Oreochromis niloticus: one gene and its partner. The protein of the gene in region 1 purifies or fractionates together with the protein of each later gene. This does not show direct contact. Links are inferred from orthologs where the notes say so. Each region holds a gene or a part of one and is shown in the gene's direction. Other genes may lie near its edges.

Region 1 (16,944 bases):
AGTGATCATACAGACCAAAAAGGAGGAAAAAATGTCAGAAACTGATGGTTTCAAGCGGTCTGAATCCTGAGTTTGTGGCTCAAAGGGTTCACTCAGCACACTGGTTGACTTCATTATTCGAAACTTTGGCCATGCACTGATGTAAGAGTTTAGTACAGAAAACAAGGAGAAGTAAAAGTTTAAAATGTGACTGTAAGAAATGCAGGAGAAGTCTAAAAAAGTTAGCAACTAGCTAGCTATCATAGTGAAGGGTGTGGAAGCTAAAACTCCAGACATGAGCTGTGGAAAAAGTACAAATCTTGCCCCTATAGATGCTGAAATTTACTACTGTGCTTTTTGAACATTTTGTTGCTCAACCTCCAAGCACTCCAAAAGCCATTTAAGCCTATTGTAATTTTAATGTTAGACATTAGCTTGCTGGAATCCTTATGTATGTAAAGAACTACAAGTTTCTCTGTATGAAACCTGATGTGTCACATGGACAATCTAACATGTTACCTTTCACTGGTTGTGCAGTAATTGAGTTTTCCTTCACTTTCTCCCACCACCTGCATCAACTCAGAGGTCAGCTCCGAACTGATTCACATTGATCCATCGGTCAGTCACATCACTGAAGGGGACTCCGTGTTCCTCTCTGTGAAAACCAACTTTTCACCGGACAAAGCAGACATTCAGGGAACTTGGTTTCACACCGGGATGAGCGGCACCAATACCCGGATGTTGGTGACATTCACCAAAACAAATGAAATCTGTAACATGAAGCATTGTGACCAACTCGTCTTCAACAACTCCACCTTTTCTTTGGAAATCAAGAACTTAAACAGAAAAGATGAAGGAGATTATCACTTGAGCATCAACATAAAGTATGATAACAAACCAGGAGACATTGAGAAGGAGGAGAAAACCGTTCGTGTAACCGTAGATGGTGAGTTGCATGTTTCTCAGACCTTATCTTTCCCATTATTTAATTTTATTAATTGGTGACTGCTCGGATATTAATTAATGTTTCTTGCCTTCCACCACCGACTAGTCCCTGTGTCCAATCCAGCCATTGAGAAGAGCCCTTCCTATGCAGTCATTGAGGACAAAGCAAACGTAACCTGGACTTGCTCTGTTGAGAACGGAACAAGAGTTATGTTTAAGTGGTTCAGGGATAATGTTGCACTGGGTCCCAGTGACAGATACCACTACTCCCAAGATAACTCGACACTGTTAATCAGCCCTGTGAGAAAAGAGGACAAGGGAAGTTATCACTGTGTGGCCAGCAACCCGGTCACCCGGGGTCAACACAGCAGGGCTGTGGAACTCAACGTCTACTGTGAGTAGCTGTAGCTTCTTCTTCGGTTTATGAACCCTGTAATGACTTTGTTCGCATCCAAGAGCTGCTTTATAAAGATTTTTATCTTATAGAAACAATTAAAAATCTAAAATGTCACATATGTGTTCCTGTACTCTAACCCTAAATCCTAAACCTTGTTGTTTTCCCTTCTCCAGAATAGCTGGAAGTGTTGGGTCATGTGTAAATTTTAGTGAGATCAGCCTACTTACTATCAGCTTAAAAACAAACAAAAAAAACGCCATGCGCCTGTTATGGGATGGTATTTGCATGGGAGCAGACTTATCTCACAGAGCTCCTCTGTTCTACTATAAACGGCGTAGATGCACCGATAGACTTTATTGGATGTGCCAGTATGAGGCTGAATCGAGGACGTACTGCATGCGTAATTTTTCCTGGGTGTTCATTTTAATGTGTTCACATTTTTACAAAAGAGACGACTTTGTATTGAAGCGTGACAAAAGAAAGGCGTTGTAGGTTTTGTCTACAGGTTCCTGCACTTTTTACCTCCACCTCTTTAGTCGTGTGTGTTGTTCTCATCTTGGCGGTGACATCACTTTTGTTTGCATAGGCAGATCGTGTTTGTGTTTCAACCTGCAGGAAGCACTCTCGGTTTCTTTCAGTTTTACTGTATTGAGTTTCTAGTACAGCCGGTCTCCTTCTTAATGTTTGCTTTCACTGGAAAATACAATAAAAAAACAGCTGATAGTGAACTGGTCTGTTTGCTACTTATAGCTAATTGCTACTACAGTAGTTCTCGTTTAACAGATCATTTTGTTATTTAACAGTTAGGTTTTATCTAAAATGTATATTAATATGTTTATAAATAATATGCTTGACTGTGTTGGAAAAAGACAATTCTTATTTTAAGTTAGTGCGCTTTCTCGACAGCCCATGTTCAGTGCTGCACCAGTTCACCCCCGCCTCACCAGGTCTCAGTGTTCTCCACTGACACTGTCAACATACCCACCCATATTTATCCCACTACTCCGTGTACAAACCTGTGACCTTGTATTTAGAAACTCACTTTTCTTACCCTGCTTTCCTCTGCTACCCAATCATGCCTTAGAACTGGACGGTTCATGAAAATTACCCACAAAGCAACATCTCACCAGCAAACTGTCATGTTTTTCTCACTCTCCACCGGCCCATACAGATGGCCCTTACAACCTTGAGGTGAACTCTGTCCAGGGCCTGCGCACAGGGGAGGTGTTCACCATCAACCCTGGGGAGCTGGTCTTCTTTGAATGCCAGGCTGACTCCAATCCACCTAACAGCTATGTGTGGATCTCCAAGACCCGCAATGCAACTCAGATCGTCACAGAGGGCCCTCGGCTAGAGGTGCGCTCCTACAGACTGGCCCAGGCTGAAGAGTACCTTTGCCGTGCCTTCAACAACGTGACGCAGAAGCAGGACGAAGCCCAGTTTACTCTGGTGGTGGCCAGCTTGGGAACAGGTGGGTAGAGGGTGGAACATGGCAAGAGGGAGGAGAGCGTGGGTAGGTTTTGGGAATCCTCTGAGATAAACACTCTGCAAACAGTGTGTCACGCCAAACGCAGAAGAGCTGGGTGAGCGTTTCGAGATAATCGTTGCCAATGATAAGCACTGCCCACCTTTTGGGAACAGTTGGGGAGATAAAATACTATAACTGGAGCATTACACTGCGTAAAAGCTGACAGGTCAGACCAGGTTATGGCTATAATGAAATATACAGTACATTATTATAAAACTAAGGTTATATCTGTGTTGCTAGGCTCCAGTACCTGCAGCATGTATTTAAGTTCAGTGGCTGGGAAAGTAAACACTGGATAACAGCTGTTATGTTTGTTGACAAGGTTTTATAGCATATGGAGTTTCTGTGTGCTGAATGCAACATTAATATGTTGCCTGGGTGATACTGAGAAAGGGACATTTATGATTACTGCTGATACTGACTGATTTAACACGTTGTTTAAGGAGTCAACAGATGCCCTTTTTTTTTATTGACATCGAAATCTTTTATGAACCCTACCAAATTTCTTTCTGATGATTACAGTTTTAAAATTCAAGGATTTTACAGACATGTTAGCCACTGTGGAAGGCTATACCGACTGTCTGTAAAAGAGGATACTGAGATGATTTATTTATGTATTTATTTTGGCACCTGACCTGCCCATATTTAGATAAATTGTGGATAAGAGAGTGTAGTTCGACATTTTCAGCTAATGCTTGCTAGCTTGGTTAGTTAGCATTGTACCTTGGTTAGGTTAGATACCTGCTAATTAATGGTAACACATAAATAAAATTGGTTGAATTTCTCACATTAAGAAAAACAAAAACAAAAGAGACTACAGCTTAAACAGGTAGCCTTTATTTAACCACACTGCAACAAACATTAGTTTCCAGGAAACTGCTATAAATGTCAAGTTCAGTAACGTCATTTAGCTAAAGTGCTACCTAAAAGACAGCTAGCTAGATACCGTTAGCCTTTATCTGAACTCACCGGCTACTCAAAAAAACCATCATACATAAGATTTAACACATTTTAAACTGAAAAGTACGTTTTCACTAAAGCCTTTGTTTGCTTGTTTTTGTAGCCAACTTCAATATCCCTGAGTTGTCTCACTGCAAGACACAAAAACACGATTTCAATAACACATCTCAGCTTTTCTATGTGATAAACAGATGATGCTTCAGTAAATGAAAGAAAAAGTTACAAAAAAAGTTCTGGTAGCTCATTGGCTAGAATGTCCTGTATTCATAAAATGTATATGGTAAATAGTGGAATAAATAACAGGAATAATTCTGCAAGTTAATTGTTTATCTGTTAGTTAATTACATTGTTAAAGTATGAAGGGCCACTGTACAGGAATCTTAAATTCGGGAAAACTATGAAAATAAAGTTTACGTTTTCCAAAGCTGTCCAGTGGGCCAGATTGGGGGCCGTTTTTTGCTCCCTGGCACAAAGACCAACTTGTTAACTCTGTCATTCCTACAGAACTGGCTTACTTTCAAATTTGTGTTCATGTATCATTCATGTGACTGTTGTTCATTAACAGGGAAAGAGAAGCACACCCAAGAGGGTAGCTCTGTATCACCGCTGGCAGTCATTACTGTCTGCTCTTTTTTTGTCATTGGCTGTATGCTGCTGTTCTTCCTCAGGAGAACCTGTCATCCAAAGAGAGGTTAGATACTGTTTTCTGCTGTTGCTTTGGCGAGCACATTTTCTTACAGAACCATATTTGCTTTTAATCCCTGTGAGTTCAATCTTACTTTCCTCCTGGTTTCCGAGCTCTTGCATGTGGAATTTAATAAACCTTCCCACAGCAGTCATTTTGACTTGAAATGTAATTAGAAATGGTATTAATTAATGTCATTTGTAACACCCGTGTTTGCCTACTTTTTCATGTGGAAAAAAACAACAAAAACAAAAAAAAGAAAATGTTACTGGGAAAATGTAAATGACTTGCAAATGTTAGATTAAAGGAAACAAGGGCAAAGTAACTTCTTTATTTGAGGAAGTGAAGGTCACATTTGTTATGCTGTCGCTTCTGTTTGCGTGACTTTATATTTTTCTCTCTTTCTCATTCCCGTTCCCCTCTCTTTTATCACCAGTGCTTATGAGCATTTACAACAAGTAAGACCCTTTATTATGAAATTAATTCAAAAATCTACCATCGTGTCTTTTCCCCACATAAGCTTCAATTAACATTTGTATTTGTTTCTGAGCAGACCGTTTTCAGAGCAGAAACGACCACATCGTTCAGGTAAACTACTTTTTTGTTCACAGATTTCTCATTTTTGCCCTCTTGTTACCGTCAAAAACATTAATTATTAGGGATCCCAGAATATTCACTCTCATATTTATTTATACACATGCATTATATCATATTTAACAAGGAACTGGATTGGAAATATTAGATGAACAGGGCATTTACTGGACAAATCAGCTTCAAAAAAGCAAGTTTGAAAGCTAAACAACTTAACTTACCTTAACTCAAACAAGATAAGGAGAATTTAATTGAGATTAGAGCAGTTTTATGTTTTTAGGTTTATGACATCATATAATTTACCATGCCATTATAAAGTCTGACAGGGATTACACATTAACAGCTCTACTGTGGCAAAATTTTTGCTCTGATTTATCAAAATGTGTATCAACAGGTCACGAGGATGCAACCGAGGACTTTGGCATCTACGAGTTCGTCTCCATACCTGGGAAGACGGAATCTACACAGGTATTTTCACAACCAGCAAAGCAGCAACACTCATTTTTTCCCAAAATCCTTTGTTTTTTTAATGCTTTTAATTTGCCCGTACAACTAATCCACCAGGCATCGTGCAGATCTTTGGCTCGTCTCGAATCGATTCAAGATATGCATACTACCATCTACGATGTGATCAGACACGTTCCTGAAACCCCGAGTCACAGTTTGCTGAAGTAAAGTCTGGCTGGAGAGCGGAGATGGAACTTTAAATGGTTTAACTTGAAGATTTCCTTGTAGCTTTATTCTCTTAAGTCTCTGTTATCAAAGCCTGAAGCACTGGTTTTGGTGGCCTGGTTTTTTGCACAAGGGATGAAGGAGACTTGTGGGATTACAGAACCTGATAGTGCACTGCTGTTGACGAGAGTTTTGGACGGATGTTAAGTGTATTTTGCTGACATTGGTGTGAAATGAAAATGTATGTTCAGCTCATTTTTATTTTTTCTGTGAAAGCATAACTGAAGTTAAAACCCTTTTGTTTTCTGTTTTAAGGTGAAGATTATGTAAAACTAAGCAAGTTAGAAGTATTCAGTTTTACCTTATTTTGAAGATCTTGTGATGCATCCAAGGTGCCGAAATTGCCACATTATAGATGAAAAAAAACCCCACGAATATTATCATTTTAATTTAGCGTTCCCTGCTGAGAGAGTATATTTTGTGAGAAGTGTTATAATTAATGCAGTACGAAATATATATTCAGGTTAACTGTAAATATTGTACATGGATTATCCAGCAGATTCTTTATACATATTATTCTATTTCTATGTTTCACTCTAATCTATTTATTCCTATCAAAACTTTCAGCCCTGCTTCCCCAAATGTAGCATTTTCCCTCTTCTCATAATGGACACAATGAAATGCTCAATGAAAAGACAATGATAAGGAATTCATTATTGTACAGTTTGCATTCACATGTTTGTTTTGTACTTTATTAAAAATATAACTGTTTACTACTCTGGTCAATTGGAGTATGGACTGTTTGCTGACATCAAACAAGGACAATGTACTCTAATCTGCGAATTCTGCAATTATGTCTGTATTTTTGCTTTAGTTTGCCTTTTTTTTGTAAAAAGGCAAAAGCAGTAATGGCTTGAAATGAACATTTGTTCTTTCACACTTCCTGGAAAAAAAGAATAGCTGAAGCCAGCAAAGCTGTCAGTTGTTCTGTTGCTTCACAGTCCATCTTTGTCTGATGTCTTGGCTGTAATCTCTCTCCTAGCAAGAGTTGTGCTTTCAGTCCCAACACTGCTGCAGAGCGCTAGCTTCTTTCAGCCTCGCTGTATTGGTATGCTGTGTACCTGATAGAGATAGGCAGCGACAGACGGATGGTTCAGCATGTGGCATAGTGCCCTCCACCTGCTCCCGCTGACACCTTGTCACGAGTAGATAGAAACGGGTGTGCGCTTGCTCCTGTTTGTGTGCGCGCGCATACATATATGTGTTGTGGACAGAAGAGGAAATACAGAAATACAAATAAAGGGGCAAGCGTGGAGAGAAAGTCAGAAGTAGAGTGATTCATTCAGAAAGCGGAGGCCAAATTTTTATATGCAGCTCATTAGAAATGCTCCAAGTTTGCCAACCTTGGAGAATGAATCACGTAAAGGAACATTTGTTTCTACTATTATGCAGCTTATTATTACCAAACTGTTGTATACTCATTATGTGGTACCATGCTGAGTGCATCTTTTCAGTGTGTGAAATGCTATAGCACAAAATGCTGGCTACTATAGTAAATTATTATCAAACTGTAGTTGTTTCTTTTTTACGCCATGAACATTAAAAAACAAAAAAATCTAAGTCTAGAACTCCTGCTGAATTCTAAGGTGTGACATATCACGATGCTCTCCTGCATAACAACAAGTTGTTTATTAAATCTTGGTCTAATTTTAGCTGTTGAACTGACCAGCCGAGTGCGCTGTGTCTTTGTGGTGGCATCTCCGGGTAGGGGTTGCCATCTGTTCCGTCTCAGTGTATACTTAAAGGGAGGCTCCACACTGTGGATGACTGCCTGACAAACAACAGTGGAGTAAATTCACCCTAAGGAGAGCGACCTCACCTTCATTTGACTGGGAAATAGCCTGAGGCATCATTAACCAGGAACTAGAGCTCGCAGTGCCTGCTGTGTGCAGCAAGCTGCCTGCTTTTAACCAAGCACAGCCCGACATAACACCTAAGGGGGCAATTACAAAGCAGGCTGAATAGGTCTGTGTGTGCTGTTTTGGGAATTATTTGGAACAGTTTACAATGCAGAGCCAGGCATAACTGCATGCTTGGCAGAGATGAACCTGCGTGGCACTGATGACAGCGGGCAAATTCTTGGTCATGAAAGTAAATTTGCTGCGCTAAACATTTACAACATCCCAAAAATAGAAAAGCCTACTTTATTGTGTTAACCTGTATGTATATAATGTGTATAATACAGACATAAAGACAGTGGCTGTAGAATTAAAGGAAATCATTCTACTTTATTCTTAGGAATAAAACAAACCCTGGAGCTGTTTGGAAACCCGCCCATGTGGTGTACTGATAATAAGTGCAACATTATAACACACGTTATATTTTACTAATTAATTGTTTTTATAGAATCATTAGCATATAAACGTGTATATGTTAATATGTAACTCGTGCACATTAATGTGTAAAAGTCTTGATCCGCCCCTCATTCCTTTATATTTTTCTTCCATGGATACAGACTTTCTCATTTGCAGTGTTGTCCTTCTACCTGACCATTGTCAGAGGACTGTTTGTTCATTTGTTTGTTTGTTAGGTTAATTTATGATTCAGACATATTAAAAAAAGGCACCTAACTCAATAGATGAACCAGTGTTGTGTCTGCACATAGGACACTGCTTAGCATTGTATTTAATTGTATCTTTAGGCACTTTGTTACTAGCAGACTGCTGCTAAAAACATCATTTGGTCCCATTTCTTTTGTTGAGTAATTTAAAAATATCAAAGACAACACAGGTGACAGACAAAAAGTAGTATTTTTGCACCAACAAGGTGATTCCCAAAAATTTGGCACAACTGGATGAGCTGCAATGAGAAAACTGAACAAGTGGAAGAAAGTGGAAGGCCTAAAAAGTATCTACAGTAGATGAACATTTGAAAGTCATGTCCCTAAGAAGCAATAAAAAAAAATTCAGCATTTTTTCAGTTGCTCTCTCGCTCTCGGAGATGGTCTCAGTGGAAGGGTAGTCGTCAAGAAGCCATTCTTGAGGAAGCGCAACAAAGAGAAATGACTGAGGAATGCCAAATTACACAGACCTGGACTGAAAATCAGTCCAGGAGTCATGAATCCAAATCTGATCTTTATTCATATTGTTGTCAATATGTATGCAGGAGGTACCACAGTGAGTGTCCACAGCCATCTGTAACAAAAACCAACAAGCAGGGGAGGGTCTGTCGTGGTTTGGAGCGTTATTTAAGGCCGCGGTGTTGTGGATCTTTGTCAAAATTGATGGAATTATGAACACAGAAAAGTACAGCCACTGATCTGCCATGCAACATGGTGGAATGAAGCACATTGGTGAAGATTTCATGTTTCAGCATGGCAAGTACCCCAAACACCCTGCTAGTGCAGTAAAAGCAAACCTGGAGAGAGAAACACACAGTGAAACACTATCAGTCACAAAAAGAGCTTTGAATGTCATTCAGGTATAGAAGGACAGAGGACTATTCCTGATGACTACCTAAAGAAATTACAAGAAAGATTACCTAAGAGAGTTCACAGTGTGTTGAAGAACAAATGTTTTAATACCAAATATTGACTTTAAGGCTTGTTTGAATTATATAAATCCTATTTTTGTCTTACATACTGGATTTCTGTGTATGTTTGCACACACCTCAATAAACTGCTGCACCTGTTTCCCAGTTTTCCAGCAAAATATAAATAAATGTCGTGTGACTCAAGACTTCTACAAAGTATTGTAAGTACCTGAATAAATCCACATACAGAGATTCAGCCTAAAGCCATGTAAGAGAAAGATAAGCATATGTGTTGCCATTAACGTTAATGATGGCTCAGTTTTATTCCAGTGTCCCATGGCAGCCTCATCTCAGGAAAAACAATACAGCCACTGTGTTTCTTTTGTTTTTTAAATTTGTTATCATTTGCACCCATATTTTCGTTATTTTGGCACAAGGAGGTTAGATGACTGCTGTGTACTATCTCTGTTAATTTACTACCATCCAGTGGCGTATGGCAGCAGTACATTACTGTAGTGTCAATCTTTGACGCCATGTTTATATTTTATCATATTTTTTTTAAAATTTAATTTTCTCTGTTTATAAAAACATGTACTTTGGATTTCGTCCAGATGCTTTCATTTTTAATACGTGTGAAAAGCCTGACAGGCAAGAGCACGAGCACTGGCTCTTAAAAAATACATTTCCCATAAAGCTTTGCAACGTTCCGGTTCCTGCCCTGCCAGTCACGTGAGACTCAACTATGGCTTCCTTCTCGTAGTGATGGAGGTGCACTGTTGACAACAAGACACAGCTGGAGCTTTATTCATTTCTTTAGCCGCTGATACAACTTGGACTTACGATGCAGAAGATAAAGTCTCTTATGGCCCGTCAGGTGAGCACAGCAGGTGTACAGAAACTGCGCTACCGGCTGTTTGTCTCTGACAGGAGCCGGTAGTTAGCATGACAGCCTGCTAAGCTAACTGGCTAATTTGACAGCTCATCGTTTGGTTCATTAAGTGAAACGTTCAGCCAGACTAAAAGCTGTTTCAGTTGTTTACCTCAGGCAAATAAGGCATGCACATAGCAATTTACCTCACGCCCCGGTGGTGAAAGTTTAACACAACAACAATAACAACACAATAAAGGGAACTGGGCGGATAGAAGGAAGTTCTCAGTTTGCACATGCAGTAGTGTTTGGCAATTGGTCAACACTGAACACAACAGAGCATATCGCTTTCAGAAATCTGCCCCTCAGTTCCACTTTTTGCTGTATGCAGTAGTGTGCTGATGACGTTTTGTTACAAGTTACAGATTAAAAATAAAAACACAAAGAGTAACGTTAACGCTACCTGTTGTTTGTAGTTTTAATTTGGATCTTATTTTGGCAGGGCCTGAAAAGCCCCCAGGAGAGCATGGCAGACCTGAGTCCTGTGGAGAACCTGAGAATCCCGAGCAAGGTAAACTTCAAGTCGAGACTTAGACTGCAGCTGTCTGGTTTAATGTGCTGTTTGATGCATGTGGACAGTTTCTCCATCTACCACTTTGTGAGTAGATGGCTGCATTCCCATGTTCATCTGGTTCATTATGCTGTGAGGTCTGATAACTTCAGTGCTTATCTTAATAGTTTTGCTGACAACTTTTAAAAAGCTGCCATATTTTATTCTTTTCGAGCCACAGTGAACGCCATCGAGGAGGGATTGTTTTAGCAATTGCACTACTGCTGTTGGACACAGCTGCAAGCTGTAACACAGACCCCGAGTGATGTCTTTGTCATTACCCAGAGTCAGCACTCATATTAGTAGTAATGCCACCACAAGGCTGTCAGTATTACTAGAGATTTAATTTGTTAATGAAGTGTCGATGATTCATCAGCTATACATTGGATTTCATTTTTTTGTGCTTTATCTAAACAGCAGTTGTTATATTACAGTTATGCACAACTGAAGGCTCCTGTTTATATCAGTTAAACAGACTTTATGTCAGTCCTCCTCACCCCACTCAATTTGTGATGCAGACACTGTTATAAGAGTATTTGAACATTTCTGGCATGGCAGCGTTTCAAATTGCACTTAGTCATGCTTGGTCACAGGAAGCGTTTGTCACTATCCCCTTTGTACAAATTCAATTCGTCAAGTGTCGACGGAGCAAAAGGCAGAGCGGCTCTATTTCACGTTTAGTTACATTCATTCCTAGTGTCGCTGTGGCTTTTCACTGTAGTGATGACCTTCAATAAATGACTCTGAGTACAGTTTTGTTACTCTATTTGTTCACGGCGCTGGGAGATATGAGCCAGGTCGACTGAACAAGACGTTTAACCTTTCTGGTTTTTGCACACTTAGCGTTTACGTTTTCTTTTCGTATGGTGTGCTGTGCTGATATGGCGTGTGATTATTTTCTGCTCAGGCTAATGCTGTGCTGTGATAGATGAGACCAAAAAGAGAGTGCATTTTTGTCAGCTCACCAGTGGCGGTTAGGAAAGATTAAGCTGACTGAATTTTAAAATCTGCTTCCACTATAAAAAAAAAAGAGAGGAGTGTCTGATAAGCTCATACTTAGTTTTTATATATATATATATATGAGTATTTCTTTACAAAATTATAATGGAAAACAGTCACATTTAATACTCCAATAATGGGAGGTTGTTTTGTCATATTTGTATAAAGCCTTGTAGATCTGCAGACAAACTAATCCACCTTTTGAAAAGATAAGCAGATATTTAATCTCCAGGTGTAATAGGTGTCTAATTGAAAGCAGACTGTGTCTTCAATAAAGATTTCGTTTTGTTTTTTTTTCTCAGTGGGCACCTCTGTCTCCTGGCCTTGGAGTCAGGTGACATGGTCAAACTGGATATGCAGTAATCAAACACTTGTTTTGTTTTTTCCTTGCTTGTAATATTCTCGTTTGTCAGTGCTGGACTGAGACTCTGTGCAAGACCTATCACACCTGCTTTGTTTGCCTTATGTGTTATGAAGCAGTAAGGATAATAAGACCGAAGTAATGGCTTCTGTGGATGTGTTCATATGGATGTGTGAAATGTAAGCAGACAGTATGCCGCTGTCCATCGCCTATTAGGTTGCTCTTGTGTGTGCACTGCAAATACCTGCCTGTTGTGTATTCAACATAAACACAGGGCATCATTGTTTGTTGGCTTTATACTTTGGCTTCATTTACTTTGCTTTCATTAACGTGCTGGCCCTCTCAGCTTACAGGAAAATAAGATGGGGCCACGACACAGGCCAGGCTTCATGTAAAAGTAGTCCTCCTTCATTACAGGAGAAATAGTCCTCTGCAGGAGTGAGACCAAGGTGCTATTATATGATCATTTTGAGAAATACTGAGATCATGATTATTTAACACGTCACAACGCAGTTAAAATTAAACTTTAACTTCCTCCATTAACATTATACTGATACCCACTGATTGGAACCATTGCTGTGTTTCATTTTTTATTATTATTAGTATTTTTTTTTTACCCATGAGTCACATCATTTATCATCCTTCACATGCTGACAGCAACATCTGGCTAACTGCAGGGGGAAGGCCTGATGTGTGTGATGATTAAGTAAATGCTGCTATTCAGTTACTGTTAGGACACAGTTTGAGGGTTTGAAAGCAAGATCAAGATAAATGTGCAGTAGTCGGTCTGTGGCTGTGGCTTATCTCTCTTTTGTAGTATTTAAATGGAAGGACAGCCATTCAACACATTCATCAATAATGAAAGTTTGTTTGTTTCAGTCTGGTAGTGGTGGGTTAATACAGTCTGAAACAGGGTCATGATCTCATTAAATTGGCTAAAAAGTATGTAGAGGCAAGTTTGTTTGTTTTTTAATTTATCAGTTTGACTTTTTTGTGATTAATAGAGGTTATTAAACTTTAGACGGATGGTCCTCATGTGAGATGCTTGGGGATCAGGGTTATTTTAAAGGGGTAGTGGAAAATGGGTGTTTTAGGTTATTTGAATGTTTTGCTGTATTGTTGCAATGAAAAATTACAAGATTTGCAAAACCCTTTAAAGATGTCGGAAGCTTTTCTTTTGATTGGTAATCCATAAAAGGGAAAAAATAAAGCAGCTTCGTCGGGGGCGGTATTTTCACTTTCTTTTTGTTTTTTTTGCAGGGACGCAGGTGTCAAGATGATTATGTGCACATACGGAGGTCAGACTCTTGGCAATAGCATCAGTTTACCCTCAGGGAAAGCTATTCTCAAAGAACATCTTATCCCTTTGTTCTCCTGGTGCTGTGTACCTAACACCTTCTACAAACATGTAAATCTGGGTCACAGCGAGACATGCGCCTAAAGTTAACAAGTTACAGTCTATTCGAGATGCCAGTATGATGCCACCTCAGTGTGATGAGTAACAATTGAAAGCTATGACTCAACAGTAGAGTCACAGCATTCGAATTACAGAGACCTTGAGTGATGTCTTTGTTATTGCTCAAGGTCTGTGTTATTTTATCTGCCAAGGTAGGAAGATTTTTACCAAAGCCTTTGTAGCACAGATCGGTAACATGCTTTTGGCTTCATTGGGCAAACAATAGTAATCATAACCTATTAGCATATTTTAGTTAAAGAGGTCCTCATGTGGGTTTTGTTTTCTTCACTGATACTCTAGATGAGATGAAAGAAGTGATCATTGAAAGATGTTTGAAAAGCAGTTGGTGTGTTCAGAGGATTCTCGCTGTAGTTCTTGGGACAGTTAATTTCTACAGTAGACGGTGTCACCTAAATTACTGAATGATCAGAGCTACCTGTTGTTGCTTACGTGACTTGAAGTTGTGCAAGATGGATTGTTTTGTTTTGATCTTGCTGATCTCATGAGAGTCCAGCTGCCTCGCAAGGTAATGTGTTTTCAGGCGTTATTAGATCTAGCCTTTTAGGAGTGACTTTACAATTACAGATCTTTCCAGACCCCATCAAAAAACCAGACAGAAAAGATAAAAGATGGAGGTAGCTACTGTGATGTCATCCACTGGTTTTTGAAGTCCTGTTTGCTCATCCATTAGCATCCAGTGGAATATCCTCCTTTTAAAAATATAGTTGACCAAGATTTACTCTCCACAGTGTCTTTTTTCCCTCCCTGATCCTGGTTCTGCTGGAGGTTTCTTCCTGTTAAAAGAGATTTTTTCCTTCCCACTGTCGCCAAGTGCTTGCTCACAGGGGGACGGATGTCTGAGGGTTTTACTTATTGTAGGATCTTTATTGTAGAGTATAAAGTGCCTTGAGGCGACTGTTGTAAATTTGTGCTACATAAATAAAATAAAATAGACTTAATTTTTTATTCAGTGTGACCTAATATGAGGCACTCCGCCCATAATTACATTAGGAAAGTTTTTACAGAGGTAAAGTCAAAAAGCAGTTTTCCCATAAACTTCTATAGGACCAGAAATCTTTTTGCAACCACAGCTATCGCCCTCTGGTGGCTTTCAGATAGAATGCTGGTTTACTTAGTTACTTAGTTACTTATTTTTCTGGCCCGGAAGCTATATTAGTGTTGTTTTTGGATGCAGTGAATTAAGCAGAGGCAGTCACATGGACTCCTGTGTGAAGCAGATTTTAGAATACCATGGATACCACAGCTTGTCTGCTGAATAAAATTGGAAAATAATTTCAGATGCATACTGAATAAGATACTTTTGGCTGCTCCCTTATTCACACAAACACACACACAGGCACACACACACTCTCACAAGAATTAAATGGCTCTAAGCCCTCAAGCTATTTTTTTAACAACTTTGATGTTTTTTATTCTTTTCCTTTTTTTTAATCTCAGTGTTCCTAAGCTGCTTTGTGGCTTGTCAGTAAAAACAAGCCAACCTTCCACCCCTGTCCAGTCCTTTCTGTTCAAAGCTGTTGTCTCTCTGTGAGTCACTGTTGAGGGGTTTCTTTGAGGATGCTGTGGTGTTTTTATCTCTATTAAGTGATTGCAGAATTGATAACAAAGCCTAGAATAAAAATTTGGTTGGTTTGTTTGGTTGCATTTATTTATTTCCCTGTTTGTTCCAGAGAAATGAATAAATGCTGGTTATTAAACAAGTTTTAAAGTCTCTCAGCCTTAATTACTCTCCTCGCATGTTTTTTTTGCGATTAAGAAAATCAAAGATTTGCTTGATGTGTAGGATGTGCGGATTTAGCTGTTTACTTTGTTTGCATCGTGCACCGATTTATGAATAATTTCCTAATCTCAAAGCACCTGATAATGACAACAATCCTAATTACTCACAGTGTGTTATAGGTTTGGTCATACTGTGAAACATGTAGGCAGGTAATTTCGGTGTGATTTTGTGATACACTGAAGACAAAATTCAGTTATTTAAACCTATAAAGCTTGAATTATTTTATAATGGGCAGAAATTTTCATTTTTTTTAAAGCTTGATTGTTTAATGAGCATTGTGACAAATTAAAAGAAAATCATATGTTTAATATTTGCAACATCTGATAGTTTTGTGTAATGCGCAGTTTTTTCAGGGAAAAAATTAACCACACCAGTGATGTTAAGGTCTCAAATCCTCATGTATCAAATATTAGACACTTCGTGTTGTAGGATGAAGTTTGCTTTTGAGAGACCAGCAATTTGTTTCCCCAGAAGCCTCGGCGTGTTCGAGGTAAACAGCTTTTCATTCATACAATAACCATGTCCAACCAGCAGGGGTCACCCTCAACTTACCCACCGCTCATCTTTGCCAGATTTAAAGCTCTCTTCAGGCACACAAAGGAGCACACATTATCTCCTAAAATTATGGGATTATTGATTGGATAACTACTTCTATTTGCTAGTATTTATTTCCTGAAGACAAGGCTTTGGGATCAATCTGTGAGGAGGGCGTGTTTGATAATCTCTCATTAGTTCACGCAGGATGTCTTGAGGGAGAACACAGCTTATTTTTATAGTTTCCGTTTTATGGCTTCAGGACCCAGTCGGGTTATGTAGATAAGATATTTTGTAATTATATATTTCAAAAGCCAGATCATGCACTCATACAGTGAAGAAACTGCATGGCATGAAAACAGAGCGCTTCTCGTGCTTTCGGCTGAAAGAGAGTGTTGAATGAAAGGTAGAATAATCACGTACTTCCATGCAGAAATTCAGCTGTCAGCGTTGCCTGGATTGTGCTGGATTGTGCGATCGTGGCTGCGAAAGACAACATTGTTCTTAATGGCAGACGAAGACACAGGCGCACAGTTAGTCTTGCGTGCATATACAGCACTGATTACAACGAGGACGTTTTGATTCGTTCATGTAACGAATGATTCTATGGTGGAGATAATTGGCCCTTCTCTCAGTCTCTGCTGTCTTCCACCCCCCGTGTCTCTCAGGGTTTTCCACAAACCTCCTTTTGTTTATTCAATCTTTTTTGTTTTTATCAGCGCTGCTGTGTTTGTTGAGCAGTTATTTCTTTCTTTATTTTGTTGCCACAAGCATAATTTTCCATATTCAACCAGCGCTCCAGTCGAACATATCCCCCTTTGATTCTCAGATAAAGCTTGTAAAACGACCCGCACTTAGGATGCAAATAGATTTCTAATTTCCGCAACGAGATGAAGATTTCATTAATTTGTGGAAGTGGCTGGGCTGGGGGCTGGGGGCCGGGGTGGGGGTTGAAGGGCTGTTTGTTTGTCTCTCATCCATCAAAGTGAAATTTGATCAAAGCCTCACAGCGGCTCACGGTTCGGGT
Region 2 (16,640 bases), on another chromosome or scaffold:
GGATAAGGCATTTCTAATGACAACATTCATCATAGGTTTCTTCTCTGTCAGGTTGTCTAAGAGCCACTGCAAGTACTAAAAATTGACACTGTACATACAATACAGCATTAGGTGTATTATCATTATTATTAGTGTAACCTACTCTTAGAAGAATCTTACAGGCACCCACAGCTACACAAAAACATGCATATTTATAGACTTTTTAAGGAAGTCTTTGCTTATGGTGTTGCAAAATCCTACTCTGTGTTTTTATCTGCTGTGTGAACTTCCTCCCTGCTGTTTCAAAGCAATTTACTGACTGATCCATAAGTATTATACTGCGAAAGATAATCTGATGTTCTTACTGCATGAACATAAACAATAATGCTGCACCTCAACTAGTTTAAAAACATTAACTGTCCAAAGTAGAATAAAATAGATTCCTATGATAGCCGATGACGAGACAAAGCTGGGCAATTCTTTGAAGCGTGTTTATGGGTTATTTTAAATATAGATGCTGTCATCAGAAGATTTCTACATAATTATATGAAATAGATTCTGTAAAGTAAGTAGTTCTCTCGCACTTAAGGAGCATGTTTATCTAAGAATGTGAGTGGTAGCATTAAAGGAGGAAAGGTCAAAAACTAGAGCTACACTGTAAACAATTTAATTGGGAGATGAGTGCATTTTGTCCTTTGGTCTCACAAAAAGTCACAGTAAGACGCGCTGCGAAGAACATTTAAATGAGACAAACATGAAAGGAAGAAAGATTGACAGTTGGGTAAATTAGGAAAGAGGAGCAGACGAGAGGAAATACTTCACAGATCTGATGCAAACCTCTGTCCTCTGTTTTCCACAGGGAGAAGAAGCTGTCTTCTTATCTGCCTGCACATGTCACCATGGGGAGCGGAGGCTTGTTCTCTACTTTGCGAGGGAAGTCAAGCCGTCAGGTCGGGCTGGAGCAGAACCTTTTTAAGGAGTACAGTAAGATCTGCACATCTGCTGCAAGCTCTCCCGAGCCCACGCAGCTCCTACACCAGTACCTCAACACGTGTCACACGCTGCCTTATTATGGGTATGAATTAGCATAATGACACATTTTTGAATTGTATTTTTCCACAGAAGGCAAATGATTAATTTTAAATGTGAAAACAGGTGTGCTTTCTTCTTTGGGGAGATTGACAAACCAGCGCAGGGGATCCTGCAAAGGGGAAAACGTAAAGCTGTCAACATCGGGATCTGCCTGGAAGGTGTTTATGTGATGGATGTCAAAGAGAAGGTGAGCAGTGCTTCACACCTTTTGTAAAACAGCAGCCGCACATGCCGTGGTTCTCACTCTGCGCTTCTGTTCCTGTTATGGAAATGTTTTCCCGCAGCACGTGCTGCTTGGCCTGCGCTTCAGTGAGCTCTCCTGGGACCACAGCTACCCGGAGGAGGAGGGGGATTCACACATCCTGTGGCTGGAGTTTGATGGAGATGAAGACGGCACTCCTGTCAACAAGTTGCTAAAGATCTACTCAAAACAGGTAAGAAACTTTTTCCATCCATCCGTCCATCCGCTCATCCAGGGCTGGGGCATTGTGGCAGCAGCCTTAGCAGAGAAGTCCAAACCTCCTTTGTGTTCCCCTCACTACCTCCTTGACTGCAGGGCATTCAGAATGCTGCTGCTAGGCTTCTGACAAAGCATCACAAACACTCCCATACCACTCCCCTGCTGATTCAGCTGCATTGGCTCCCTGTCAAGTTCAGGGTCCAATTTAAGATCATAATCATGACTTATAGGGCCCTGCACAGTGTAGCTCCAACTTACTTAAGTGAACTTCTTCTTTCTTATCACCCCAGCAGGTCCCTGAGGTCTTGTGACCAGGGTTGCTGGTTGTCCCGCATACAAGGTTAAAAACAAAAGGTGACAGAGCGTTTGTATCAGTGGCTCCCAGACTCTGGAACTCGCTCCCTTTGAGTTTGAGATCTGTGGACTCAGGTTTTTAACTGCTTTTTAAAAGACATGACTATCTGTTTAAACTTGGTTTTGGTTAATTTTGTTTTGTTTTGGATTTTAATGTCTGTTCTCTGCCTCTGTAAAGCACTTTGTGATTTTATCTTGAAAGGTGCTATATAAATAAAATTTTACTTTACTTTACTTTACTTACTCCTTCAGCTCACCCAAGGGAAACACTGAGGGATTCCCAGGCTTTGGGGAATCTTCTTGGTAGGACATGCTCAGAACATCTCAGTTTCCTGTAGACATCCTTGTTAGCTGGCTCCTTTTGATACAGTGGAGTAGCAGCTCAACCCTGAACTCCTCACCCTATCTTTAAGGGAGAGGCCTACGCCCATTTGGAGAAAGCCTCTATCCACTATCCTCAGTACTCAACTATTGACGCCAGCTGTTTGAAAACTTTTTATGAAATTAAAAAAAATAATATGGTGTGAATATCTCCACTTTCTTTGCTCTATTCAAGCATGTCTTATGGCTGTCAGCTGTAGTCCTCTGACGCACTTTCAAATGAGATGTTTTCAACTTGGACAAAAGATGCAGTCACTTCTCAAGAGCACCTGCTGTTTGTGAGATTTCCAGGATTGAATGAAGCAGCTGTGCATATTTGTGTTTAGATGAGTGTTACAATTGATATAGGTGCCTAAAAAATATCAAGTCATTTTTGTGCTTCAGGTATATCATCCTCATTCGGTAAACGTGGCACCAAAAAGTTGTTACCTAATAGTAAAAGCATTATTACCATAATCACCAGGCTCTAAGCCTTAGTAGGGCTGTAGGATATGACGAAATATATCGGAAGATGGAATTAAAATGCCTGTTGTTTCATATTATACCATCGTTTATTTTGTGCTGTCACACACACACTGTTTACTGCAAAACAAATCAAAGAACTTGTTCCTAAACAAGGGGCTACTTCTGTAGCATATACATAGTTGTGTTGTAAAAAGTCTGATATGAACCAGAAAACTATACTTTGCAAAATTATACCACAAACCAGTCCCCACCACAGATTCCGACACAACAAACCTGTTCTAGCACCTACGCAAGGATCACATGAAAGAGTATGGAGAGGGTTCACAAATGAGAAGCAAAAAAAGAACCGTTAGGTGCTCAAAATACAACAGAGTCAAGTGTTAGAACAGCCTTTACCCTCGGCGCGCCATATAATAGACTCACAAAGATGGAAGGAGATAATAGCAGCTATTGCAGCTTTTATCTATAAAGACACGGTCCTAACTTAGAATGTCGAGAAACAGGGATTTCTAAATTGGTCAAAACACTTGACATGTCCAGCCGAAAACACTTCACGCAAGTCCAGTTGCCTCATTTATATTATGAGTGTCGGGCCAAAACATTGGAGGAAATCTACAATGTAGCATGCTACACTGCAGCATCAAATGTATGCACAGTGCACTTCACCCGAGACCAGACGCACTGCAGTCAGTGTTTGCAGACGTGCTGTCTTCTTGACGACCATGCAGGGGAAATGTTAGCCAGAGCCCTCAAGGAGGCTCTCGAGTCATGGGGACTGTGTGAGGGTCATCTAGTATGTGCCACAAAGGATGATGCCACACAAGACCCATATTTATTTTGTTTAAAGTGTTTTTTAGCCTTATATCGTTTTTAGTGTGCATTTGCATTTCATATATGTTGTGAGTATTTTATGTTGGGTCTTTAGTTATTTGATATTGAAAAGTGTCTTAGTCAAACATATGTCAAGATGTTATACATAAAAGCTCAAAAATAATCACGTATGAATGAGTACTGTTCATTTATTATTAATTAATTAGTGTAAAAAAGAATTTGTACTTTACGTGTGGCGATTATATAAACTATTCATTGAATTTACACTGAATTTTTTTTTTGTCCCATCCAACAAGGCGGAGCTCATGAGCGGCTTCATCGAGTTCTGCGTGGAGCTTAAGTCTGCGTCCGAGGGGGCAGCTGCAGCCGAGATGGACGGCGAGGTGAGTTTGTCACAGCAGCCCGGCGGACAGGAAGAAAGGAGCAAGAATGGGCGTGGCGGAAGGCGCGGGATGCTGCACAGGCAAGGCAGCGTTGTGTGCAGCAGAGTCCAGTCGCTTAACACCATCAGCTACGTCGATGACGGTGAGGGCCAAACTTGTTTAACAGCAGGGTTATCCTTTCTGGAGGTAGCTCCTTCTGTGCCGTTTCACAGTATCAGAGATTTTTTTTCTTTTCAGCATTTGTTCATTTTTGTTTTTTGTTTTTTTAGGAAAAGAAATCAAACGCTTGAAGCCCAAGAGAGCCGCGTCTTTCTTCGCCCGACAGGCGTCTGCAGTGTCCTACTCTGCAGTGCAAACAGAGAGTCTGGAGCAGGGTTAAAGTCGCCCATCAGATCTGACCCGATCCTCTCAGAGACCAAATCTGAACATTTTACACTGAGATTTAAAACAAAAAAAAAAGGAGAGATGTACTTTGAGCTTGAGACATTTATCTGCTAATATATGAACATGTAAAGGACCAAATGACAGCAATCCAAGTGTGAGTGACAATATTTATCTTCTGAAGTTGTGTACATTAAGCGAGTACAGTAATGTGAAAAAAGATCTAGCAGCTATGCTTCCAAGGTTCAACTGAAGTGGGTGTTCCTTAAACAGCCTATTGTAAAGATCATATGATGAATAAGTGTGAGACAAGCCTTATAATAATCCTCAAACAGTGACTCCAGTCAATAACTGTTTTTGACCTTTCTGCAGCGCTCTGGAAGCGGATTTACTGCTATTATTCAAACATGTTGCACCTCAAATGAGTATAACCACTGCATTACCTCTACTCATCTTATCGGGGATTGAGCATTAAGAATATTTAAAGCTTTCGTGACTCCACCTCAGACTTTAAGCGATACCACAAACGGCAACAGTCAGCATGACAAACATTTTTCAGGGGACTATCTAAGGGTGCATTTCCGCTATTCTGCTTTTTTCAAACTGCCAGTGCCTTGATCTCTACAAAGGGTGAAGCCACTTCAGAAAAAGTAGAAACGTGTCGCGTCCGGCTATCCTGACCATAAACAATCCTTATGGGAGCACATTGGCTGTGTTGTGGAGGACTTTTGTAAGTACAGGAGTTTTTGACAAAGTCAATATTAAGCGATATCTGCAGCTAGTTTGAAAGAGGTGGCACGACGACCTGCTTTAAAAATGTGAGTTTTAAAACTTCTTGTTAAAGAAGCTGCAGTTCTGTGGTCACAGTATCAAGTGTTTAAATGGATTTGCACTAATAAAAGAATTGAATTAAAGCTATAAAACTGTAGAACCTGTGTAGGAAAAAATATATTCATCTAAAGATCATCCAGCACTGCCGCACCATGCTTGTATTCAAATGTTAAATTTCAAAGCATGGACGATTAGTACAAGCGATCTGTCGGCACAGTCTAACCTGACTGTTGGACCTGATGAGCAAGAAAACTGATGCAATACTGTTCTTGTGCAACTTCTGACATGACAGAAGATAAATTGAAAGTGTAGACATTAAAGAAACTAACAGTGTTGTTTTTCTGCAAACACGGTCACTGTTGACATCATTGGGGAAAAAGGCCTCGTTTTCAGCTTTACGACGATTCATTTACCAATGCAAAGAATTTCATTACTTGATTATTAGATTTATATAGCATTAAAACAATTTCTGCTTCACTTTATCTCCAAAAGCTAACCAATCTGTTGACCCGGTTGTCACTAGAGAGCGACTGTGTGTTCTGAACACAAAACAAGGACCAAGTTGTGGCCACACTGTTGAAAATCTTAAGTCTTTCCACCAAAGCAAGCCTGTCTGACATGCTGCAACCAAGTGTGTGCTACCTTAACGCTGCAGAGACAGATTTTAGCCTCCAGCACTTGGCAGAGTCCCCCGGGTGTCACTCTGAACCCCACACTAATGCTAAGGGAGGCAGTTTCTGTCTCCACATCTCTGTAATAGCGCCTTCCACTTGAACACGTGCCCTCGTTGGAGATGTGGCGGCACATGCGGTCTATTCTTCTCGATTTTCCTCAGCATGCAAACGGCAGAATGTCCTTACTTTTCTATGCTTCAACTTGTGTATCAGCTGCTGTCTGTATACTAACGCCAGCAGCTCAGTATGTTGTTGCCAACAAACACTATGCATGTCACGTTGTAGAATAGGCATTCCGACAGTCTACACATCATGTGATGCTGCACTTGTTAATACTAATACACTGTTTCTAAACATTTTACAGCAGGAGATTTGTTTTGTATTGTTTGTTAGCTTTTATGAGAGAACACTTTTACTTTCTTTTGGTTTGTTTTCATGTACTTGCCAGTGTTTGTATATGTTAATGAAGAAATAGGTCTCAAACACTTTACAGAAGCTTAAAGTGCCTTTTTTGTTTCTACTGGGTTGGCGTCTAAATTACTGTTTTGGTGCATTGAAACCAGAAAATGGACAGTTGTGGTATTGCTATGGTTTAAAATGATGTATTTCCTTTATGTTATGTGATGTGAGTATATTTGAGTAACTGGATGGCGGATGTTGAACAGTGTACTGTAATTCCTCTCGGTTGTCAGCTCGGCCTTCATTAAAATTATGAGATGATGGAAAGTGGCCCCGTTTTTCTGAACATACCTGTCATCAAATATTCCTTCCTCAGTCTGCTACCTGCTGCTTAAGTGTACTAAAGCCATATTTTAACCAATATGTTATTCTGCATATGATTTAATAACATAACGTCATGCAAACTTCTCATCAGTATTTCTGTGGCATTTTGTTTTACTTAAACACTTGCAGTTGTAGAATAATGTTAGAGTCGAGCCAACAATTTCTTAACTGAGGTGCCATCTTAGCTAGATCCATTTCAAATTGTTTGGGGAAATAAGTTCATTGTTAAATGTTTATGTTTTAATATATGGCAGGTATGATAAGAGTTGATATATATGTAGAAAGCTTGGTGAGTGCTCCTGTGGAAATGATTTAACATGCACCTAAAACCTCTGATTTTCTGCTTTCACAAATGATTTTCAAATACCTGAACTATATCCCAGATTATTATTCCTCTATGATTTTTATGTTCATGATAAAATATAGACTTTTGTCACATTTTAAATCTTATAATAAAAGTGTTTTTTTCCTCTGATCACTCAAGGGATGAGCATTTCTTTGTGTTTTTCTTGATTTCAACATTGTAGGATTTGCTATGATCACAGATTATCATACACATTTAATCCATTTTGGTGTCATTTAATTTTTCCCTACAACCCCCAAAAATGGAAGATTCCTTCAATCTAAGCATTTTAATATGGCGTTACGTGCCAATTAGGACATGCGCAGTTGTGCGCATAACTAGAACACTTACCTGAACAATTATGAGCTTTGTCTCTGTCTATACTTTGCCAAAAACATACATTCTTACATAAAATACATAAATTTTGAAGCCTATAGTGAATAAAAAGATCAACAAAGAGAAACTGCTCTAATTGGCTGTTTAGATTACGTGCACTGGTGGGCGACGTAACACCGGATAGGCTAGAAACCCGGAAACAACACCGCTTCCACCTAGCTGCTTCTGCCTCAGAGAAAATATGACATTTTCTGAATATTTATCCTGAATGATTTTGTTGTTTCCAGTTGGCAGCGAGGCTAAACACACAGCGGTCACACAGGAGCTTTGTGTTGCCGTTTCCCAGCTAGAGGCTGTCGTTTGTCTCCTGTCAGCTGGTCTGTCGTCGCCTTTGTTTATCGTTATTTTACTTTAAACGTTTCACAGCTGGCCGCCGTTCATTATGGACGAGGGCTCGGTGCCGGTGGCTGAGGACCCGGGAAGGAGGCGGAGAGTGCACGGCATGTTGAAGCTGTACTACGGGCTGAATGAGGAAGGAAAGGCCCCGGAGCAGCCGGAGTCCCTGGATCCCTGCGACATCAATGGGCCTCATTTTGACCCGGAGCTCTATCTCAACAAGGTGCGAAACTGCTATTGTCATTGTAATCCGTTCAGTGGCTCACAAAGCTGGACTGCTTCAGAATTTTAGCGTAAGCTTGATGCCAGATAATAGAACATGAAATGCTGAAATCGACAATACTATACACAGTGCAGATTGCAGTGATGTTACATGAACTGAAGAAAACACCAGAGTACTTCCTTCATTTGTCCCAGTTGTAATGTCACTACAAGTAAAGATATAGATGGCTGTGAATTTTAAAACACAAATCTGCTCCTGTCTTTGCCAAACAGTGAGAAATGAACCAGTGCTAATACTACATCACACTACATATAGAAGACACAAATGACCACTAAGCATATGTACAGTAACTTCTTTTTTTAAATATCCAAATCCAGCTCAGGAGGGAGTGCTCTCTCACGGAGCTGATGGACCAGGAGACCTGTATGGTCAGGCAGATCCGCTCTTTGGACAGCGACATGCAGACCCTGGTGTATGAAAACTACAACAAGTTTATATCAGCTACAGGTGAAGGGAACATCACAAACACACACACACGCTGCTGCTGTAACGTAAGCTGACATTAAATTGTGCAAACCTGGATAGCTGAAACAGCCTTCCTTTTTCTTTCCTTCTGCCAGACACTATAAGAAAGATGAAGAATGACTTCAAGAAGATGGAAGATGAAATGGATTGTCTGTCTGCTAACATGGCTGCGATCACAGAGTTCAGCGCTCGGATCAGCGGCACTCTTCAAGACCAGCATGCGCAGATAACCAAACTCTCTGGTGAGACCTAACCTGACTGTTTATTTGAATGAAACTTTTTAATTGTGTGATTTGTATTTTATTTATTTTTTGGGGTCTTACCATGTCTCACTCCAGGTGTTCACACTCTGTTGAGGAAGCTGCAGTTTCTGTTTGAACTCCCTGCAAGGTTGAATAAATGTTTGGAGCTGCAGGCCTACGCTCAGGCAGTGAACACCCACCGCCGTGCTCGCTGCGTACTGCAGCAGTACAGCCACCTGCCCTCCTTCAAGGGAATTCAGGATGACTGTCACGCCATCATGGACAAGCTGGCACAGGAGCTTCGACAGAAGTTCAGGTGACAATGACTAGTTATTACAATATATAACAAAAATAATTTTAATTGGCATAAACAGCATGTTTGACACAACTGCATAGATATTAAAATAAAAAATTAAAAAAACAGCAATTGAGTTGACTCATAGACAATAAACAAATGGACATCAACCTCATCAGAGAGGTTTTATTGACAAATTTTATACATATATACTATTTTTGCTTTGTTTTGTTTTGTTTTATTTTGGGTAGTTTTGTTTTATACTGTTTCAGTAAGTTTTTTTTCCAAAGTCTAGTTTAAATAGTGTAGTTTTATTTAAGTTGACTAGGATGTGCTTTCACACCTAGTTTTAGTTTTTAGTGTAGTTTTAGATGCCAACTCAAAAACTTTTCCTTTTATAAGAGGCTGATGCGTGAGCCAAAACTGACCAAACTTCAGGAAAAAAAAATCACACGTTTCATTAAATTTCTGCTTCTGTCTTTTCTTCTTGTGATCATAGGGATGGTGGGTCAAGTGCCAAAGATTTATCAGAGTGTGTGGAGCTTCTGTTGCAGTTGGATGAGCCAGCAGAAGAGCTCTGTGATAAATTCCTGAGCCACGCGCGGTCTCGCCTTGAGTCAGATCTTCAGGGCCTGGAAGCAGAGATAAGGCCGTACCCGTCCACCTCAGCCACAAAAGATGCTTCCGTGCATGGGTTGTCGTCTACAACAGCCCCCGGATCGCCGGCCGATGGCTCTCCCAAAAACAGCTCTCTGCCTTCCCCCGCATCAAACACTGACATTCTGGAATTCATCGACAGAGGCTGCAATGAGTTTGTGAGCAGTTTATGTTTGGTAATCACGTCCTATCAAGAACTGTTTATCAACCATGCTCAAAAGGGTGAGCTGGCATCCAAAAATATTCCTCAGATGGCAAATGGCAAGCTGCATGTCTTTGTGGATGATCTGGCTGCTCGATATTTCATGCTTGTCGAGCGGAGGATACAAGAGGAGAAAGGGGTCGGGGATAACTCCCTACTTGTACGTGCGCTGGACCGCTTCCACCGCAGACTCCAGGCTGTGGCCAAACTTCTGCCTGGCTCAGCTGTGCCAAACAAGGGGACGGAGATTGTGATACGGGCGGCAACGGAGCGAGTCAAGCAGTACCTTTCCGCTCTGCAGAGCTTCTACATGGACAGCTTGACAGACGTGAGGCAGGCTCTGGCAACTCCTCGTCTCTCTGTGGCTGGCACTTCTGTGGCTGGGCCAGCCTCTGGCAGAGACGCTCCAACCAGCCTACCAGAGCTGCTCTCCTCCCTGTCAGCCTCAATTCTCAATCAGATTAAGTCGGTGCTGGCGTCAGTGCATCTCTTTACAGCTAAGGACATCACATTCTCCAACAAGCCGTACTTCAAGGTGAACATTTTCTGGGGTTTTTTGCTCCCAAACTACCTTTTATAGTTTTCATATGAGTTTGAACTAATGTGTGACATCATGTGTTACTGTAACCCTGCGTGTTGTCTCTACATTGTGCGAGTGATACCGGTTTGTGTGTGTCTCCCCTCCCTTTTAGGGTGAATTCTGCAGCCAGGGTGTACGTGAGAGCCTGGTGGTGAGCTTTATCAAGTTTGTGTGCCAGTCTTCTCGGCAGTTTTGTGAGACCGCCGGAGACAAAGGAGGTTCAACTCCCCCAGCCCTTCTGTTGCTGCTGTCTCGTCTTTGCTTGGACTACGAAACCTCTACCATCTCCTACATACTTACTCTCACAGATGAACAGTTCCTTGTACAGGTATCACAAAACAAGGAGAGCTAGCTGTCATTATGTGTTTGATCTCTCTAATCAGCCAGTCACCTTGCCAAAGACAATGACAAGAATGTGCTTTTTGCTCTCTCTCAGCACCACAGTCCCGTAACACCTGTTACAACTTTATGTGCAGAAGCCAGGGAGGCAGCACAGAAACTACTCAACCATTATGTCAAGGTAGGCTTTTATCAACAACCTTTAAAAGTCACAAAAGCGAAACATCCTTTTTATTTAGTTGCTTTATTTTTGTTTTGCTTCAGGTTCAGGGTCTGATTATCTCCCAAATGTTAAGAAAAAGCGTTGAAACCAGAGACTGGGTTAACACCATCGAGCCAAGAAATGTCCGCGCTGTCATGAAGAGAGTGGTAGAGGACACCACATCCATTGATGTGCAGGTGAGAGTTTTTGCAACTGTCCCACTGTCCTCACGCACTCATGATCCCACATGAACGGGCTGTTTTATGAAACTTCTGCACAATAGGTTGGTCTCTTGTATGAAGAGGGCGTGAGGAAAGCGCACAGCAGCGACTCCAGCAAAAGGACTTTCTCTGTCTACAGCAGCTCCAGGCAGCAAGCCCGCTATGCTGCCAGCTACACCCCAAGGTACCATAGCTCTACACACACCGCTCAGCTGGTGGCAGTCGTGGTTTTTTTTTGGTTCTGTTCACACCAGGCTTGGCCAACTACAGGCCTCGAGGGCCGGTGTCCTGCAGGTTTTAGATAACACCCTGGGTCAACACACTTGAATCAAATGATTAGTTCATTAGCAGGCCTCTGGAGAACTTCAAGACATGTTGAGGAGGTAATTTAGCTTTTAAATCTGCTGTGATGGATCAAGGACACATCTAAAACCTGCAGGACACCGGCCCTTGAGGCCTGGGTTTGGACACCATGGGTTTACACCATTGCGCAAAAGTAGAGTAAGTAGAGTGTAATGTGCAGAAAATGAAACAATAGAAGGGCCTTTATATATCTGTCCAATGTTTCCCTTCAAGATTTTCAATCGGCGTTTGGATGTTCTTGAACATCTGTGATTTCAAACTTCCATAGAAAACAAATACTAACTCCCAAACAGGAATTTTCAGTGGAAAAGGTTGGAGTGTTCAAGCTCAGAGGCTGTGCATTAGGTCAAAGGTGAAAATGCAGAATTCGTGCAGTTTACTTGCAACATTTACACAGTTTTCTGCTGTGAGTTTGTCTCCAAGGGCATAACGGTCTATGTCCGGCGGTATCTGAAGATAAACATTTCTGTAGAAATTAACTGACTGGTGTGTAAGCATGCAGCAACCTGTTTACAAGTTATGGCTCTCTGGCTTGTAACTTTGTCCTCTTAACCACACAGCATGTGATCCAGTGTGCACTGCAAACACACACATGCAAGTGGTGAGAATGGGATTTTCAAAGACTGACCTTAAGATAGTTAATAATAGTGGTAGCAGTGGTGCAGAGCTACCTACAAATTTTAAATCAGGAATGTCAAACTTGTTTATATTGTGGGCCACATGCAGCCTATTTTGACCGTAAGTGGCCCGGAAGTTTAACCAAACATTTAATCCCTAATATATCCCAATATAAGAAAAAGAAGTGTAATTTCAACACTACGTCTCGGTTTTTCTACGTGATGAAGAAATGCTGCTGCAGTTAATGAAAGAAAACTGTCAGCATGACTCATTGGGCTTAAACTGTAAGAAATAAATGTGTAAAATTACACAGAAAGATCTGGTAGCTTATTACCATATTGTCCTATAATTATAAAACTGAAAATTTGTTGACTCACAGTAAAAAATACAATATACAGTGAAAAAACAGGAATCTTTCTGTAATTCCTTTCCTTTCCTATCTTACTTTACTTTTCTTAATTATTTTACTTTGCTATGAATGGCCACAGGGAAGCTCTTTATAAGTAAGAAAAGCTGTAAAACTTCTGAAAACACAATTAAAATTCAAAAATGTATGGTTGCCTTCACATTTTTCTATGCCAGTCAGTGGGCCAGATTGGAGCCTTTGTCGGGCCGATTTTGGACCTTGGGCCTTATGTTTGGCACCCCGTTTTTGATTTTGATTCATTTATTTATTTATTTTGGTAGAGTACAGTGAGTGATTTTGGAAATGTCAGCATAAAGAAATTACATTGTAATGACATCTTAATAACCACTGAGTGGTTATTAAAATATTATAAATAAAAGGCACATAGATACAGTGTTATATTACCACTTCAAAGTACGATGTCAGTTGTTTCATAGGCATTTTTAATCACACTTTAACTTTTTAAATTTATTTTTAAACACATTTTCTTAAGCACTTGTCTTCTGTTTACCTTCAGTGCTCCCATGGATACCAATCTGCTGAGCAACATACACAAGCTGTTCTCTGAAAGGATTGACATCTTTAGCTCAGTGGAGTTCAACAAGGTGGGTGCAGATCTGCAGATGGTCCTCATTTAACAAAATGAAAAAGGAAAAATCTTACATTTTCACTTGCACATCTTTCTGCTTCCTCAGGTGTCCGTGATGACGGGAATTATCAAAATCAGCTTAAAAACATTTCTGGAGTGCGTCCGCCTGCGCACTTTTGGCCGATACGGGCTGCAGCAGATCCAGGTGGACTGCCACTACCTGCAGATGTACTTGTGGCGCTTTGTTTCCGACGAGAATCTCGTGCACTTCCTGCTAGATGAGATCGTTGGAAGCGCCGCCCACCGCTGCCTGGATCCCGCACCGATGGAGCAGAGTGTGATAGAAGTTATCTGTGAAAGAGGCTAAGGCTCGGGGGGATGGAAAGAATTACACTGAAATCATGAATCCAAATTTAAACACTTCTTTTCTGTTCAACACTTGCTGTTCAGTCTGTTGATCCAGATCGAACGAGTCAGGAATTATTAATTTTTCAACACTAAATCAAACAGTAGTAGCTGTTAACTGACGTCAAATTTGTGGCAGATTTAAATTGAAGTGCTTGTCATTAAAGTGCAAATGAGCCTGTACCACTTTGGTTTGATATTGTAACTGTTACAAACTAACAAAATCTTCTCCATCTCCTCCTTATACAAAGATAGAGTTGAATAATCCACTGTACAAGCTGAAGCTTTTAGCACCTGTTTCACTTGAAGGATAAAATATTGACCTTACGTACATAATATTAATGACTAAAGAGAGAACCTGTGTCCTGTGAAAATCACATGTATTAATAAATAATTTTTAAGAGTGCTTTGCTGAATAATAATTTTCTGATTATGTAATCCATGTGTGTCTACCTGCTACCTTCATGTCGTTTGAGTCTCTGTTTTCTGGGCTTGTTTCCATGTAAGGAATGTTTAAATGTAGCTTGTCTGCAATAAAAGTGTATGAATGTGGGATTCAGAGGTTCTTGCTGCCCCTGTTGAAATCAGCTGGTAGATATAGCATTGTGCTCCTGCACTGATCTAACTTGTCAGCATGATGGTGACTGAGGCGAATTTCACAACATTTTCTACTGTCTGGAGAGTACACGGACTGTCGCCACCTGACGATCGCATTTGATTGGCTAAGCCCTTTTCTCCCACCCTCTTCTGATGACCGCGGAGACTCCTGATTGGCGCGGGGAGGATTTCGTGCTGCGGTAACGTAGTTGGGGGCGTGTCCGTGTGCAGGTTGCTGGATGGACGCTGACGAGCTGCCTTGATGCAAACATCCCATTTTGCAGGAACTGGTAAGAAGCTAAACAGGACTACAGATTTGCACTCTTCGTGTTTGCGGTGTTTTCGGAAAGCCTTCAGTTCGTTCACAGGTAACTGGTCCAACCCGTGTGTCACTGTCCACAGCAGAACTGCTCAGGAACTGACAGCAGCTTGACCTGAACTTTGCCTTATTTATTTATGGCACCCATCGCAACAGTCCAGCACGGGTGTGCAGAAATAAGCAGCAATTTAAAATTTTATAAGAAAAAGGTTTTTAAATCGAACCATAATGACTTTTTGATGACCCTTAATAGTCTCGTTGACCATTTCTCTTGCTTTTTGTCAAGTTTGATTATTAACCCACATTTAGAATTCCCTTTGAGTATTTGAATGCATCATTATTATGGCCTCGCCATTCAGTGTGAGGGGTTTACATCAAATATAGTCCGACAAGTATGCACCTGTAGAAGAAGTGCTTGGATCTACTCGCGTAAAAGTACAAATAGAATCATTAAAAAAAAAATACTCTACTGCAAGCGGAAGCCCTCAGCTTTAGATTTTACTGAAAGAGGAGAGATGCCTTTGAAGTCAACTTCACTTTCCTGACAGCTTTGTTACAGAAAGAGTTCAAACGCTGACAGTCTTGTTGGTACAGTCTGGTGGAAATCTCAGTTTGTCTACCCTGAGGAGGGACTCTGTGGGTTTACAGGGTTTAATAAACCAGTTATAAGTGTATTGCAGTGTGTATGCTCTTTAAATCTCCGGTTTTAGATAATAATTACTGATTGCTGGTAGTTGGTAAAAAAGTATCTTCAAGCTTCAAGATCTTAATAAGAATGCAGTCTCTGAGGGGTTTGTGTTGTCATTTTTACAACCTTTTAACTTATTGTATATATTGTCTTCTTTTTAAACAGGAGCACAATAATGAGACCAAACAGTCAAGCACTCAAACACAAACTGTCACATGACTCAGAGAGGGAATTTGGAGGAACCCTGGGTAAGTCACAGCAGTGTGTCTTCATGTCGTGCTAGTAGACATCTTCGATTTAATTTGATGTCACGTTGCCATGATCACAGTGCTGGGCATTGCTGCACTAAACTAGAAAAACAACAGCAACTTTTCTTTCCTTTGATTCATTCATGCACTCTGATGCTCAAGCTGCTGTCTGCAAATGCAGTGCTATCGCATTTCCCTGCAGCTAAATGCTATTTTTATATACAAATTAGATAGAAGCTAAGAGGATCCTGATTTTATAAAAGGAAGAAATAAGTGGTGGTGATATTATTAGCTGACATACAAAAGAACGTTTACACTAATGCGCTATTTATGATGCTGACACTGCCAAGAGATGTGTTGTTTTATTAAATTGAGCAGTTGTTCGGTGGACCATAAGATTGATGCCTCAGTAAAACTAATAGGATGTAGGATGTTGCACTGTAGTAATGATCGCTGGCATCACAGCATCATCTCCATCATTACACCTCTAATCGAAAATCAAGGCAGCCTCCTATGTCAGATTCATCATTGCTGAAGTGAAAAGTGCATGATGCTTCATATCTTGCTTTTCCAGTTCAGCTAACCACAGATTTCACATCCGCCACTACTGATGTTTACAGTCAGCTGACTGAATTGTTTTGCTACTCTGCAGTTATTAGAGTTACCACAGTTTACCTGCATATGCATTATTAATGTGCTGCAATGCCAAATCTCCACGGATGCTGTTTCACTTCTTTACATGTTGTCTCAGCCATGCTGTCTTAACACGCACCTCACCTGTCATCATGCTTTTGTCTGACTCTTTAATTGTATTCATCTTTCAGGTGCCGTGTGCATTCCCGTCTTTCTTCCATTAACGGTGCTGTTCCTGATCTGTTTGAGCCGATCTCCTGAGGCCAGTTTGTTCCAATGGCCACCCCCCCTTCCCTCAACTGACCAGCTGTGGGACCCGCTGGCCCCCGTGCTTCTTCTCGGGTGGTTTGCTTTGCATGCAGTCATCTATTTGATGCCATTAGGAAAGGTACGGCATGTTCATCAGCCCAATTCAATGTGAAACTTACAGTGAAACCTGCTGTGGGTTTGTGATCTAGCTTATGTGTATAATGAAGCTGTAAACATAGCTTTATAACATGCTGTGTGTAATAATTAATACTAATAAATCAGCAGATAATTATTGTCTGTTAAGTTCCAGTCAGTGTGATCATCATCTTGGTTAAATGAGTGTACTCTGC

What was found.
Region 2: the proteins of vps50 (region 1) and vps51 purify together in Homo sapiens (affinity purification with mass spectrometry; 7 studies listed by BioGRID and IntAct, counting the BioPlex papers as one, with this or other methods). This does not show direct contact. The link is inferred for Oreochromis niloticus from reciprocal best matches to the Homo sapiens genes VPS50 and VPS51.

The regions. Positions count from the first base shown.
Region 1 is NC_031985.2:24,113,894-24,130,837, forward strand, and holds the start of vps50 (syndetin), read left to right. Parts: upstream 1-10,007; 5' UTR 10,008-10,129; coding exon 10,130-10,162; intron 10,163-10,658; coding exon 10,659-10,727; intron 10,728-16,944. Other genes in the region: hepacam2 (HEPACAM family member 2), read left to right, coding at 563-925, 1,031-1,318, 2,493-2,792, 4,375-4,500, 4,931-4,952, 5,048-5,082, 5,480-5,553, 5,650-5,760.
Region 2 is NC_031975.2:9,242,835-9,259,474, reverse strand, and holds vps51 (vacuolar protein sorting-associated protein 51 homolog), read left to right. Parts: upstream 1-7,460; 5' UTR 7,461-7,735; coding exon 7,736-7,912; intron 7,913-8,289; coding exon 8,290-8,419; intron 8,420-8,532; coding exon 8,533-8,679; intron 8,680-8,775; coding exon 8,776-8,995; intron 8,996-9,473; coding exon 9,474-10,368; intron 10,369-10,525; coding exon 10,526-10,741; intron 10,742-10,849; coding exon 10,850-10,933; intron 10,934-11,016; coding exon 11,017-11,151; intron 11,152-11,237; coding exon 11,238-11,359; intron 11,360-13,079; coding exon 13,080-13,167; intron 13,168-13,257; coding exon 13,258-13,518; 3' UTR 13,519-14,111; downstream 14,112-16,640. Other genes in the region: frmd8 (FERM domain-containing protein 8), read left to right, coding at 839-1,054, 1,135-1,258, 1,356-1,505, 3,859-4,087, 4,215-4,324; delta(14)-sterol reductase TM7SF2, read left to right, coding at 15,336-15,408, 16,233-16,429. UniProt on the Homo sapiens protein: Acts as a component of the GARP complex that is involved in retrograde transport from early and late endosomes to the trans-Golgi network (TGN).